3 linked regions of the Coturnix japonica genome follow. The protein of the gene in region 1 interacts with the protein of each later gene in a pairwise test. Links are inferred from orthologs where the notes say so. Each region holds a gene or a part of one and is shown on either strand. Other genes may lie near its edges.

Region 1 (4,071 bases):
TGGCTTGAAAAGGACCACAACCATCATCCAGTTCCAACCCCCCTGCTACATACAAGGTCACCAACCACCAGACCAGGCTGCCCAGAGCCACATCCAGCGTATATACTCACATGGGGACCACCTGGCATTGATGGAGCACCAGCAGGACCAGATGGCACTTGAAAAGGATTAGGGGGCGTAGGATACAGTCCTGGAGCCGGGTACGATCCTGTGGGTGGAGGAAACGGACCTGGCGGTGAAGGTCCCCACGTTCCAGGTGGGACTGTACCCCATGGTACTGTTGGCGCTGCCCCTGGAGTCTGGGTGGGAGCAGAGTATGGCCCCGGGGGTGGATATGGCATGCTGGGTGCAGGATACTGCCCTCCCATTGTCGGTCCCCATGCTCCAGAGGGCATGGATCCCCACGGCCCAACGGGAGCGGGAGGCGCAGCTGGCTCCGTCGGACCGCCATAAGGTCTTGGAAGCTCTGGAAAGGGCATGTTTGGCGGAGGATACTGCCCCGGTGGGACGGGACCTGGCACTGCTGGGGGTGGATATGGACCTCCGGGAGGAGGGCAAGAGGGTCCGGTAGGAGGAGGAGGAAATGGAGCAGGCGGTCCAGGGGGCATTGAAGGATACATTCCTGTAGGCGGGGGGCCGAAGGGCACGTTGGAAGCAGACGTGTTTGGCGGCAGCGCTGTGGGCCCAGCAGGGGGAGCGCTCGGGTTGTTCCAAGGATTCGATGGCGGCCAACCCTGCGGCGGCTGGGAGGGCTGCTGGCCGGGTTTGGCACTGCTCACTTTGGAGGTTTTAGCAGGAGACTGATCGGGTAAAGCATCTGCCAACTGAGAGAGAGAGCAGTCGTGAGCATGGGAGATACCTGCTGGAGGGGATGGTTGCCCACAGTCACCCACTATCCATATGCATTTCAGTTGCCAGAATGGGAGGAGAAAGAGCTACATGCTGCTGCACAGAGAGCACTACATTCACTTTGTGCAGCTTCTGTCATTAAAGAAGAAGCATCCTGACATGCCACAGCTCTAAAGCCAAAGATAAAAGGCAACCCTCAGCAATAAACAACCCCAGTACAAACCCAGGAAGAAGAATGTGCTGTAAGTTTCCATTGTAGCTACTCCGATGCTATTAGGACAGCACCCCCCTGTGAGAACCACCACAGAAGAGAACCTTCGAGGCACCTGAATTCACACCCGGAGGCCACAGTCTGTTACCTCTGCCCCAGAGCAAAGAGCTGTTAGTGCAATGCCCAGGCAGTCATCTCAGCTGCGCGCTGCCCTTCTTCTCATAGAAGCGTCTGAACAGAACGAAGCAACTGGCACCTTCGGGAACAAAAAGCCATTACTTACCGAAAAATCATCAGTTCCAGACATTATGCTGAAAAGCAAGGTAAAATAAAGTGAAATTCCTTGAAAAGAAAGTACATTGAGGATGAGTTCAGCAAGGATTCAATATCGGTCTCATTCAAACCCAAAGGGACATCCAGCTGGCAGAGCCTCAAACATGGTTCCATCCCATTGACTGGGGTCCATACACACAGCAGCCACCCAAATGCTCTCCCTCAATACGGCCTCCACCTCAGCTCAGATGGGATCCATGCAGTGTTAATGGCTCATAGTATCAATGGCTCAGGACACTAAGATAAACTATTTCAGGTATTCATGCCCAACAAGCAGCCCCTACAGCAATGCCAGCAGGTATCCAGGCTCTTTTCTAAACCAGGAGAAGTTGTTGAAGTCAATGCCCCTAAAATTAAACACCATCACACCCCCATTCGGATCTTATCTTTAGAAGTACTAAATGTGGGTTTTAAATACACTAAAAGTCAGTGGATGCTCCTATTTGCTTCCACTAACTTCAGCTAAGCAGTATTGAATGCAGACAGAAGGAAGGCTGTGCTGCTCTGCTCGTTATTGTGTGCTCTTCCCACTCCCTTTCAGCCCTTCCTTCTCCATGCTGATATGGAGCTGATGCCACTGACCTTTGCTCAGCACCTGCTCCATCCCCTCGTGTATTCTCACTGCTTCTCTTTGAGGTTTCTCCAATGCTTTTGTAGCTCTTAAGATGAATGACAAGAAAGAGCCAGAATGAATCCAAGATGTGAGAGAGCCACTGATTTATACAGTTCCTTAATGACGTTCTGGTTCGCCCTCTATTTCCTGCCCAACACTTAATGTTTGATCTTCTTTTTGTTCACTGCTGAAACTGACTCCTGCAGCAGTACTTTATTCTTCAGTGTTAAGGGTCAGCCCGTCGTTTTATATATGAAGCGATGCGTGTCATTTCACATTCAAGAGCTCTGAATCACATCACATTTATCTCTATGGAATTACGTTTGCCATTTTATTACCTAAGCTTTACTTTCCTGACAGCACCACACATTTCCCAGCAACGATCCCACCAGGCAACCAAAGCCCTGCAGAAACAGAGTGAACTTCATCTGTAGGTGAAGTTATGGGATGGCACAGACCATCTGAGAAACAGATCTACAAGGGACTGGAAAACACTATGGAGAGAGTTAGAACATACGCTGCAAGGGGGAGAGGGAAGAGAGGAGACAGACCCAAAGGGTAACCTGGAAGGAAATCCCATCATCTGTATGAGAAATGGTAATGGAAGCTGAAGTAATGGATGGCTACAGCAGAAAGAGCCCTGCCTGCAAAATGCCAGCAAAAATCCCCCATATTTACCAACCAGCTGATGGTTTCCAAAGGCTTCTGTGCTGTGAAAATTAAGGAAACAATTCTGCTGTGTGGCTGTTAGGAGAAAGCCTGCAGCAAAGAGAAGCTCCTGATAAGATTTAGTGGCTCTCTCACTTTGGCAAGCAGACGGGAGCAACATTTGGCATAACTGAGACAGAGCCAAGCGTGTCAAGGATCCTCCTGCAGACAGGATGGCCCACTTTGGGGACGCTTTTCAAACACCCATTTCATCTGCACGCTGCCACCGTCATTTAATAAAGGAGTCATTCTGGTCCTGGTAGGCACATACAACATACAAACCCATCTAGAATCCATACGCCATCCCAGCTGCACAGCACAACTCCAATCAAGACCTCAGTGGAGCTATCAGTTCTATTACAGGAGCACGGCACGGGGCATCCACGTGCTCAGAAATAGAGTCTGACACTGCTGGACTGGAGACCTCAGGGTCCCCACTGCCAACACACGGGCTCACCATCTCAGAATATACACTGCTGCACTGATGAGGCTTTGAGTGACCGCATGGTTAACAAATGGGCTTGGAGCTCCTGCACTGTATAGAGAAAAGCTGGTCCATGGATCAGACATTTCCTACTGCCATATTTAAGCTCTACTTCAGATTGCGTTTCCTTGGGGCAGAGGGGAAAAGTAGAGTGAATGGAAGGAGGAAGATTCAAGGAGTTTAAGTAACATGGCAGGCAGGAGAAAGACTACTGAACTAACAGCATTAAATCCCAAGTCCTGCTTGCATCCACACTGCTGCAAGACAACATTTCCTTTGTGCTGTGCTGGCCAACGCCCCTGGCAGCACCCTTTGCTTTGCACAAGTGCTCAGCCTGCAGCTCCAGACACAACCCAGGGCCAGAAGCATCAAATCGAAGTGAGGCAAAAGAGCAAAGATGTCTGAGATAAAGCAAAGGACAGGAATGAGGAGCAGAAATCCCCCACCCTTTGCCCTGAACTGAAACTTGACATGGAGGATTTCCAGCACACCTACCCTGAAACTACAGACAAAGCAGCCTGCAGACAAGAGTCCAAGGCCCCCAGGGCAGCCATCAAGTTGCCACTAATCACTGGGATTTAACAACATGTAGGTAAGAATGGCAGGTTATCAGGCAGGACAAAGGCTGAGATGTGCAGCACTGCCAGGCCAATCCTACCTGCAGTACTGAACACCATGTGAATCCATGGCCAGCTTCAGAGAGCTCTGTGAAAACCCCCTGGGGTTGATGCTCCATGTGGCAAATTAAATCCTTCAGCCTCCGCCCTAAAACAGCCCAAAGTGTTTTTTCGGCTCTGAGTCCCCTCTGCTTCCACCAGAACCACATGGAAATGAGCGATGCAGGAGCATTTTTCCCATGCTCTTGCCCTCCCT
Region 2 (4,627 bases), on another chromosome or scaffold:
AACACAGGGTTGTTTCCTTACTGTATGTGATACTGCAGTGCCGGGGCTGCTGTGCCGTGCAGGTTCATCGGTACCACAACACCCGGCGGTACCGGGCCGGCTCAGCCCAGCGGCTCACAGCGATATGGGCCCAAATAGAATCACAGAGTCACAGAATTGTAGGGGTTGGAAGGGAGCTCTAGAGATCACTGAGTCCAACCCCCCTGCCAAAGCAGGCTCCCTACACCATGTCACACAGGTCGGCGTCCAGGCGGGTCTTAAGTATCTCCAGAGAAGGAGACTCCACCACCTCCCTGTGCAGCCTGTTCCAGTGCTCCGTCACCCTCACTGGAAAGTTCTTTCGCACATTCGTGCGGAACTTCCTATGCTGTACTTTCATCCCATTACCCCTAGTCCTGTCCCCACGCACTACTGAAAAGAGACCAGACTCACCACTATGGCTCCCACACCTCAGGTATTTATAAACCTGGATCAAGTCCCCTCTCAGCCTTCTTTTCTCAAGGCTAAACAGACCCTGTTCCCTAAGTCTCTCCTCATAGGGAAGATGCTCCAGACCCTTCACCATCTTAGTGGCCCTCCGCTGGACTCTTTCCAAGAGATCCCTGTCTTCTTTGTACTGGGAAGCCCAGAACTGGACACAATATTCCAGATGAGGCCTCACCAGGGCAGAGTAGAGGGGGGGGGATCACCTCCTTTGACCTGCTGGACACGCTCTTTTTAATGCACCCCATTATGCCATTGGCTTTTTTGGCTACAAGGGCGCACTGCTGCTCATGGTCAATCTATCATCCACCAGGACGCCCAGGTTCCTCTCAGCAGCTCTTCCCCCAGCCTGTACAGCCGGAGCGAGAGCTGCTGCATTGGCCTCAAGGCTCGGGCCCGGGCAGCCGCCACATGGACACGGGGATCCCTCCATCTCTATCCATCTCTATCCATCTCTATCCATCCCTCCATCCCGATCTCTCTGTGCTCGCTCCATACACTCAGCCCCACCGACCAGCAGCAGCTCCTCTCCCCACACCGCTCCGTGCTCAGGCCCTTCCTTCCCCTCACGTCCTCTCCCTCCCGCCCCAGCCCCTCGGGATCCCCTCGCCTCCGTTCTCCCCTTCACTCACCGCAGTCGATCCCTTCTTCACCGCCTCCTGTGCGTACTCCACCTGGAACAGGTGCCCGTCCGGAGAGAACACGGTGATGGCCCGGTCGTAGCTCATGGCTGCCGGCCGCGCCGCCTCCCTCAAAACAGCACACTCATCCCCCGCCCGCTTCCGCACTACGCCGATTGCGCACCCTACGCCAACTCCGTACGCTGCAGCCGCCGAGCTCCATCCGCCGCTCCTTACGCCAGGAGCGGGCGTTGCGCAACGAGCGTAAGCTGCGCTAAGAGTAGATGGCGGCGGTTGTTACGCAGTTGGCGCAGCTGGCGGCGGCCGGCGGAGGGAGGGAGACGGCGCTCGGCTGCGACAGGAAACCGGGCGGCAGGGCCGGACCATGTGCGGGCAGCGGGGAGAGCTGCGGGCCAAGGGGCGGCCGGTTCTGCTCATATCCCGATAATCATCCCTCGGTTCCACCCGCTCCGACCCGCCGGGACCGGCCCCGTGTGCGGGGGGTTGTGTTCGGGTCCGGGTTATTCTGCCCGTTGCCGTGCGCCGGGCTCAGATCGTACCATGTGCGGCACCTCCCCTGCCCCAGCACTGCGGAGAATCGTGGGCCGGCAATAGCAGGAGATAATAACAATATTATTAGAGCACGGGACCCGTACATTAAAGACACGTAAAAAAAAATAAAGCCCACCATGTCGGTTGCCTTTGCTTCTGCTCGGCCGAGAGGCAAAGGGGAGGTGACCCAGCAAACTATCCAGAAGGTAACGGCATATCGGCATATCGGCATATCGGCATGCTTTGTACCGCGGGGTGGACGCGATGCTGGACGTGATTCCGTCCGCGATCCCGCAGCCGATGATGGAACGAGGCGGATTGAGGCAGAGAGGGAAAGTCGTGCATGGCCGGGAATGCGGAGATGGACGGCGAGAGAGAGACAGAGAGAGGTGGGGGAAGGAGGAGGTGGAACAAAGCGGAGATGAGCGGAGCTGCGGAGCCGGAGGGAACGGGATGGAATGAGCCGGGTGCTGCCGGTGGGAAAAAAGAGCCACAATAACGCGTTGGAAAATCGCAATAGCGTGTTGAATGTGTGATTACTGACGGTGTTTGGGGACGGTGAAATAAAATCCGATATGGCATTGGGAAGGGTTTTGTGTTTGGATGCCGGAGGGAGCAGCGCTCAGCGGTGTTTTTCGCCTGCTGTTACCGCTGCTGGTGATGTGTGTATTGGTGTATAATGACAAAGGTGGTGAAGATCTGCTCTGCGCTGAGCTCCGGTACCGCAGGGCTCCCGGTTGGGAAGTGCTCGTTTCCCATCCCGTTGGCTGGCACAGGCGCTGCGTGCACCTGCCGAACCTTCACCCCATCCCATCCCTCCCAGAAGGGAACTGTATCACGAAGCGGCTGGAGACTCAATAAAGTCCGTGCATGTTTCACTCTGAGCGCTATCTGTCATTTGTGCTGCCCGTCATCTCCTTCCCCACCACGGAGCCGTTTTGTCCGTGCGGTCCGTGCGGTGGCAGCGAGGTGCGGGTGATGATGGGCAGCGAGGCGGGGTTGATGTTTAACCCAGCAACGAGCGGATCGGCAAGAGGTGTTACAGCCAAACCGCTCATTCTCAGGTGCCAATAAATGACTTCAAGGGAGAACAGCTGGAGGATGGTACAGAGCAGGGATGGAGCTGCGTGTGAGCACGGGGAGTGTGACTGCGTTTGTTGCTGTGGGACTTCGGGGCTGGCAGTCGGTGTCTGTGGCTGCTGGCAGTGGTTCTGTTTGCAGAGCTGGTGGTGCTGAGCTGGGGATTTGCAGGCACAGACTGAATGGATGTTCTGGTTCGGTGTAATGGAGCGGTCAGATCAGGCACTGATGCTGGGCTCGTTACAGATTCCCACTAAAGCAAATTATTTAGACTGTTGTGATGCCATTGGAAAACAAGAGCGTTGTTATTCGTGTTTGTAATAGAAAAGCAGCTCGTTTTTATTCATTAACTCAATAATCTTTGCAAGCTTTAATTATTCCAGCACTGCCGACCATCGGGAGATCACTGATGTGTTGGAAGTCAGAGCTTTGGCCGCACAGCAGTGATGGCGCTGCTTTGAAATGCTCATCAAATAGCGATTGTAGGGCAGTGAGCTGCTGTTTCTTGTGGGTGGTGGAGATCAGAAGTCGGGGCCGCCTGCATCCCAGCAGGTCAAGGACCTGTGCTGTGCTATGCAGGTACCTGGTCGTATCCCAAAGCAAAGTGCCCAGAACTCCATCATTGGCTACAGGGAGCAGATGTGGAGTATGACACAAACACGGGTCTGTAATGTGATTCTCACGTGTTCTGATCGTGTTTCTTTTATGCAGATGTTAGATGAAAATCACCACCTAATACAATGTATTATGGATTATCAGAGCAAGGGGAAAACTGCAGAATGCACTCAGTGAGTATGATGAGTTTCGGGCTGTGTTTTTTGGTGTGCTTTTTCTCTAGGGCTGTACTATGAGCAGTGCTGTCAGTGAGGAAATGCTTGGACTGATTCATTAGATTGGCCTCTATTACAAAATATATCTTGTTCTTGGGATGGAGGGTTGGGTTTTTCCCCCCCAAGAGTGTTTGAGAATTTAGTATTTAGAATATATTTAACAGATTATTTATTAAGTTTGGAGAGTCATGACAATGTCTTCACCTCCTGCTTGGAACTTAAAGCCACTGAAGATTTCGAGCAATGAGGATCACAGAACGTATCTGCAAGGCAGGCAGTGCTGTGTGTCTGTGTGCCTTTGGGAGGAGACACCACGTCCCATGATTTTGCATTCATTTCACAACCTTGGCTTCATATTTGCCATTTTACTACTTCCCACACGTTTTTCCCTGATCAGAAGGAAAAAAAACATGTTAAAAAAGATTTTCTCTTACTTTCTTCTCACACTCCCCAGGTTTGACTCTTCACTTTGCACAGTGGTACATCTGTAGTTTGCTTTTGGATGCCCCCCTGTTCTTCTGTATGAACTTTTCCAGTTCATGGAGAACTGTGAAGAAGCAGAGATGCTTCAGGTGCTGCTGACTTGAGTAAACACTCCAGTTAAAGCACTCTTGAACAAATCTTGTTCTTCTCAGCTTGTTGACAGGGCAAACAGCTTTTGGGTTATGGAATGGCATTGCAAATAGGACCATGGTTAGACAGAGGAAGAATCTATGGCTGGTTGTTCAGGCTGCTGACCCCATGTCAGTTCTCAAGCCTGAGCTCCCACTGCACAGCGCGCTCCATGTGCTTGCAAAGCAGTGTGTGTTTTACCTCCTGCTTCTCACGTGTTTACCTGTTGGTCAAAGGAGTGTTGAACACGCTGTTGAAAAGCACAGCAGCACAGATATAGGTCAGGATGGTCACTGTTTACAGCACAGATATAGGTCAGGATGGTCACTGTTTTCTTTGACAGACATAAAGGGGGATCATGTAATGTAATGAACTGTTTGAGCATAGCAAAAAAAGAAAGGAAAGAAATTGGAATGTTCTGTGTTGTTAAACCTTTCCAAATAAGCTTTA
Region 3 (4,570 bases), on another chromosome or scaffold:
CCAGTGTTTTAGGAGTTTGCTTTGGACAGTCAACCCAACCTGGCCAAAAGGGATGTTGTGCTCAGCAAAAAAAAGCTGAGAGAAAGGAATAAAGCTGAGGGGAGACATCTGAAATGATGGCATTTGTATTCCCAATTGTTACATGTGATGAGCCCTGCTTTCCTTGAGGTGGCTGAACACCTGCCTGCTAATGAAGCAGGAAGTAGAAAATACATTTCTTGCTTTGCTTTGGTTGTGTGTATGGCTTTTGCTTTACCTAGCAGAATGTCTTCATCTCAAACCACGAGTCCACGGGATTTTTCCTTTCTGATTCTCTCCCCACTCCCATCTTCAGAGTGTAACTTAGCAGCTGTGAGGTGCTGAGCTGCCTGACAGGGTTAAACTACAGCAAAGACAAACACCCACCGAGCAAAACTCATTCTCTTAAAAGAACAAGAGGTAGGTGGATAAAGAGAAATTCAGTCTAACTGCAGAGAAAAAGGACCTGTTATTCACACATCAAGGTAGCTGCAGAGGCACTGATGAAATGGTGAAGCTCATAACAGTGTTAATGCCGGTTAATGTACTATATGCATTTCACAAGTCTTGACTACAGGAACATCAACTGTTTCAGTTCTACTTTGATTCAGCAGAAGTTGGTTTTAAAAGGTTTCTCTGCAGGAGGCTTTTTAGAACAACATTAGCATAAAAAATTAAACGGCATCCATACATGGGTCTTCTTTCAATGTTTTCACTAAACATTTAGCACTATGTTACCTTGTCTGTCTTATTGATGTTGGTTATTGGTCAAGTTTCCTTGTTGTCCTCACTTCAGAACAGTGTCAGGATAAGCCGCCATGCACTAACAGTGGCAGAAAACAGGAAGCTGCATCAGAAAAAAGAAATTAAAAAGCTTTATTTACTGTCAAACTTCTTTAAACACTCTAAAACATTTAAACAAATGTACCTAGTTACAAAAAGCCATTATTTTATCGTATGTAATAATCACGTTTACACTTCTGAGTGCAGTGCAGTTTGAGGTTCAGCTAAATCAGATCCTGAACAAGAGTTTTGATTTCATAATTGAGGAAAGAATGGTGTTCATTTTTCTAAGTTTTTTAAATGCATGTAGGAGCAATATGTTCCTTTGCAGGAGGACAGTGATCTACCCCAGCAGTCTTAAAACGCTCACGCACATGGCCTCCAACTTAAAACCCCAGGTGAAGCTGTATTAATTAATTAAATCTAAGTTAAACTTAGACTGATTCTGCACTATAAAAACCTAGAAATCCATTTCTGGAGTAGAATTAAGCAGTGCATCCTCCAGATAGCACCAGGACACATTACCAGGAGTAACAGAACATTCCCACAAGCAGAAACACTGAACCAGGCAATTTTACACTACAGTCAGAAACACACAATGTTTAAAAATACCATCTGACCCCACTTCAGCTTAGAAGTCTGTTTTTCCTACTGAAAAGAGAGCAGTGATCTGCCTGACATTTATGCAGTCCACCTGCTTGTTACACATGCTCATCATCCACACAGAATCACAATTAGCAGGACAAGGGGAAATGGTTTAAAGTTGAAAGAGGGAAGATTTAGGTTGGATGTTAGGGGGAAGTTCTTCACTAGGAGAGTGGTTAGGTCCTGGAACAGGCTGCCCAGGGAGGTTGTGGGTGCCCCGTCCTTGGAGGTGTTCAAGACCAGGTTGGATGGGGCCCTGGGCAACCTGATCTAGTAAATGTGTATGTTTGGTGGCCCTGCCAGGCAGGGGGGTTGGAACTACATGATCCTTGAGGTCCCTTCCAACCCGGGTCATTCTGTGATTCTGTGACTGCTCCCCTCCCTCTTTCTTCCCTAGCATGAAACACCCACCTCTTCCAAGGGCTGAGCTCACTGCTAACAGGGCGAGGGTAAGGCTGTGTTGACACACTACACAGGTGAACCATGACATGACAACACTGCTTTTCTGACTCCTCACACACACCTTGTGAAATGAGTGACACACAGAGATGGGGCTACTCTTGCTGATCTTACTACAGCTCCGAGTACAATTTAACGTGCTGAACGAGTACAGAAAATGCATCTACAAGTGGATTAAAAGAGTTCATTTAACTTGCACCTCACATGGTTTAAACATCACAGCTGGACACTGGTTTGGCTTCTTTAGCATTACAGTGCAGTTTGCTTTGAAACAACAACTAAAAACAGCACCTCATCAGTCATTGTGCTGCCACATTTCAGGGGACACACCTGAGCAGCTGTAGCCTTTGGAACGCATCACTTGTATCTTTGTGCAAGGAAACTAGCTTGCTGCTGTAACATACTTACATAATTACATTGTCTTACTCACCAACATCACTCACATTAATACACTGCACGTCTAGCAAAGAGTAAGAAAAGATAACAGAAAAACACTGGAACGCACTATTTTTTTTTCTTCTTTTCTGTTTGTTATTTTTTTTGCCCAAGCATCCTCCGCTTGGCTTGGGTTAGAAGAGACTCCCAACGCTACACCTGCTCGCAGCCGTCGCATAAAACAACCCGCAAGGTTTCAAAGCACAAAATCGCACAGCATTCCGGCTTCCCCTCCCCACAACGTGACACAGCTGGATGGATCACGGCGAGGCAGGCCCGGTGCACGGAGCGGGGCCCGCTGACCAAGGCCCGCCAGCCAACGCGGTTCAACGCGGCCCGGAGCCTCCCTGAGGCGAGGCCGGTTGAACGCGAGGGGTCTCCCAGCCCCGGAGCCCCCCGGCCCAACGCCCCAGCCGCCGCCCTCACCCGCCCCGCAGCGCCTGACCCCGAGGCGAGGGTGGGCCCGTTGTCTTACTCTGGCTCCCGCGTGGTCCTGCCGGCGGAGGCCCAGGCGCTTTCCGAGCCTGGACACAACCACCGCCACCCGTACGTGGCACAAGAGAGAAGGGGCGGCCGGAACGCTGCCGCTGCCGGGCCTGCGCGCTGCGGCCGCATGCGCACTGCGGACACCGGACCGCCGCCACGCGGGGAGGGGGGAGGAGGCGGTGGCTCGTCTGTTTCACACAGGGAGTGGTGACGCACTGGAACAGGCTGCCCAAGGAGGCTGTGGATGCCCCATCCCTGCAGGCATTCAAGGCCAGGCTGGATGTGGCTCTGGGCAGCCTGGGCTGCTGGTTGGTGACCCTGAACGTAGCAGAGGGTTGGAACTACATGAGCATTGTAATCCTTTTCAGCCCAGGCCATTCTTTACAAGTCTTTGCTGACAGAAGGAAAACTGCCAGCGAAACTTCAACCTTGGATGTGGGGAGAACAAATTTGAGGCTGCTGAGGGATCTAGCTGGCAGGATTCCATGGGAAAATGAATCTGAAGTTAATGGGTCCATCATACAAGAAGTCTGGTAGATAAGTATGAGAACATAATTAGAAATAATTAGTCCATTTTCAATGTAAAGAAATATGTATCATCTCTTCAGTTTTAGTAACATAGGGAAGAGGTCTGGAAGACAGGACCTTTGTGTCCATTACAAGTACAAGCTGTCATTTTTCATACCTTTGAATAGACAATTCATAGAATCATAGAATCATAGAAAGAATCATAGAATCATAGAATCATAGAATGGCCTGGGTTGAAAAGGACCACAATGGTCATGTAGTTCCAACCCCCTGCTATGTGCAGGGTCACCAACCACCAGACCAGGCTGCCCAGAGCCACATCCAGCCTGACCTCGAATGCCTCCAGGGATGGAGCATCCACAGCCTCCTTGGGCAACCTGTTCCAGTGCGTCACCACCCTCTGCTTGAAAAACTTCCTCCTAATATCAAACCTAAACCTCCCCTGTCTCAGTTTAAAACCATTCTCCCTTGTCCAAATCAATCTTCCTCCATAATATTTCTTTATCAAAGGAGCTTTTTCCCTGTGTTAACAAGGAGAAACTTCCTGAACTTAAAGCACACATATCACAAAGAATGCCAAAGTTCACTACATTATTAAGATTAGTATATTCCACGTGTATAGATAAGAGTTGAACTATTGAGCCTACAAGAATTAAGCATATAACCGGAAAAGGCTAAATTTTGCTTTGCTTCAATTCTATAATTAAGATCACTTGGAAAAGGGGAAAAAAGAAAAAAAATAGAAAAAAAAACATAAAAATTATAATTTTCAATATTTTTTATGCTGGAAGTTTTTTCTTTTAGTTCTGACATCCTTGGTACTTGCTCTAAAGTGTTTTGCTAGTATCTAAAAGCATTCAAAACAGTGTGTTTGATGTGATTAGTTAAAAGTCAACATTTTGCAATCCAGTATTATATATACTTTGGTTGTAGTTTTTGTGTGTGCATGTTTGGGTTTTTTGTTTTTGCGTTTTTGGTATAATATGGGAATAATGTATTTATTAAGCTTTTAAAAAGATCTGTATTCAAAATTAAATGGGATTTGGAGAACAAGAAAGTGCTATTATTCTTTGAAGGAGCCACCCTCACAATATCATAGCTGTTTTTGACAGCATGATCGTCCTTCCTAAACCACATAATAATTGCTAAAGCTAAAGGAGTCAGCAAAGACAGGTGTTACAAATTGGATTTACACATATTTATTATGCAACCTGAA

The links. The genes of interacting proteins can lie anywhere in the genome.
Region 2: the proteins of MAPK1IP1L (region 1) and SS18L1 interact in binary tests that used the Homo sapiens proteins (3 or more experiments, as listed by UniProt). The two-hybrid records come from large-scale screens. The link is inferred for Coturnix japonica from reciprocal best matches to the Homo sapiens genes MAPK1IP1L and SS18L1.
Region 3: the proteins of MAPK1IP1L (region 1) and TFG interact in binary tests that used the Homo sapiens proteins (3 or more experiments, as listed by UniProt). The two-hybrid records come from large-scale screens. The link is inferred for Coturnix japonica from reciprocal best matches to the Homo sapiens genes MAPK1IP1L and TFG.

The regions. Positions count from the first base shown.
Region 1 is NC_029520.1:51,137,093-51,141,163, forward strand, and holds part of MAPK1IP1L (MAPK-interacting and spindle-stabilizing protein-like), read right to left. Parts: intron 1,372-4,071; 5' UTR 1,368-1,371; coding exon 1,344-1,367; intron 825-1,343; coding exon 111-824; intron 1-110.
Region 2 is NC_029535.1:6,914,586-6,919,212, forward strand, and holds the start of SS18L1 (calcium-responsive transactivator), read left to right. Parts: upstream 1-1,670; 5' UTR 1,671-1,792; coding exon 1,793-1,861; intron 1,862-3,446; coding exon 3,447-3,523; intron 3,524-4,627. Other genes in the region: PSMA7 (proteasome subunit alpha type-7), read right to left, coding at 1,116-1,211. UniProt on the Homo sapiens protein: Transcriptional activator which is required for calcium-dependent dendritic growth and branching in cortical neurons. Recruits CREB-binding protein (CREBBP) to nuclear bodies.
Region 3 is NC_029516.1:76,120,658-76,125,227, reverse strand, and holds the start of TFG (protein TFG), read right to left. Parts: upstream 2,958-4,570; 5' UTR 2,767-2,957; intron 866-2,766; 5' UTR 757-865; intron 1-756. UniProt on the Homo sapiens protein: Plays a role in the normal dynamic function of the endoplasmic reticulum (ER) and its associated microtubules. Required for secretory cargo traffic from the endoplasmic reticulum to the Golgi apparatus.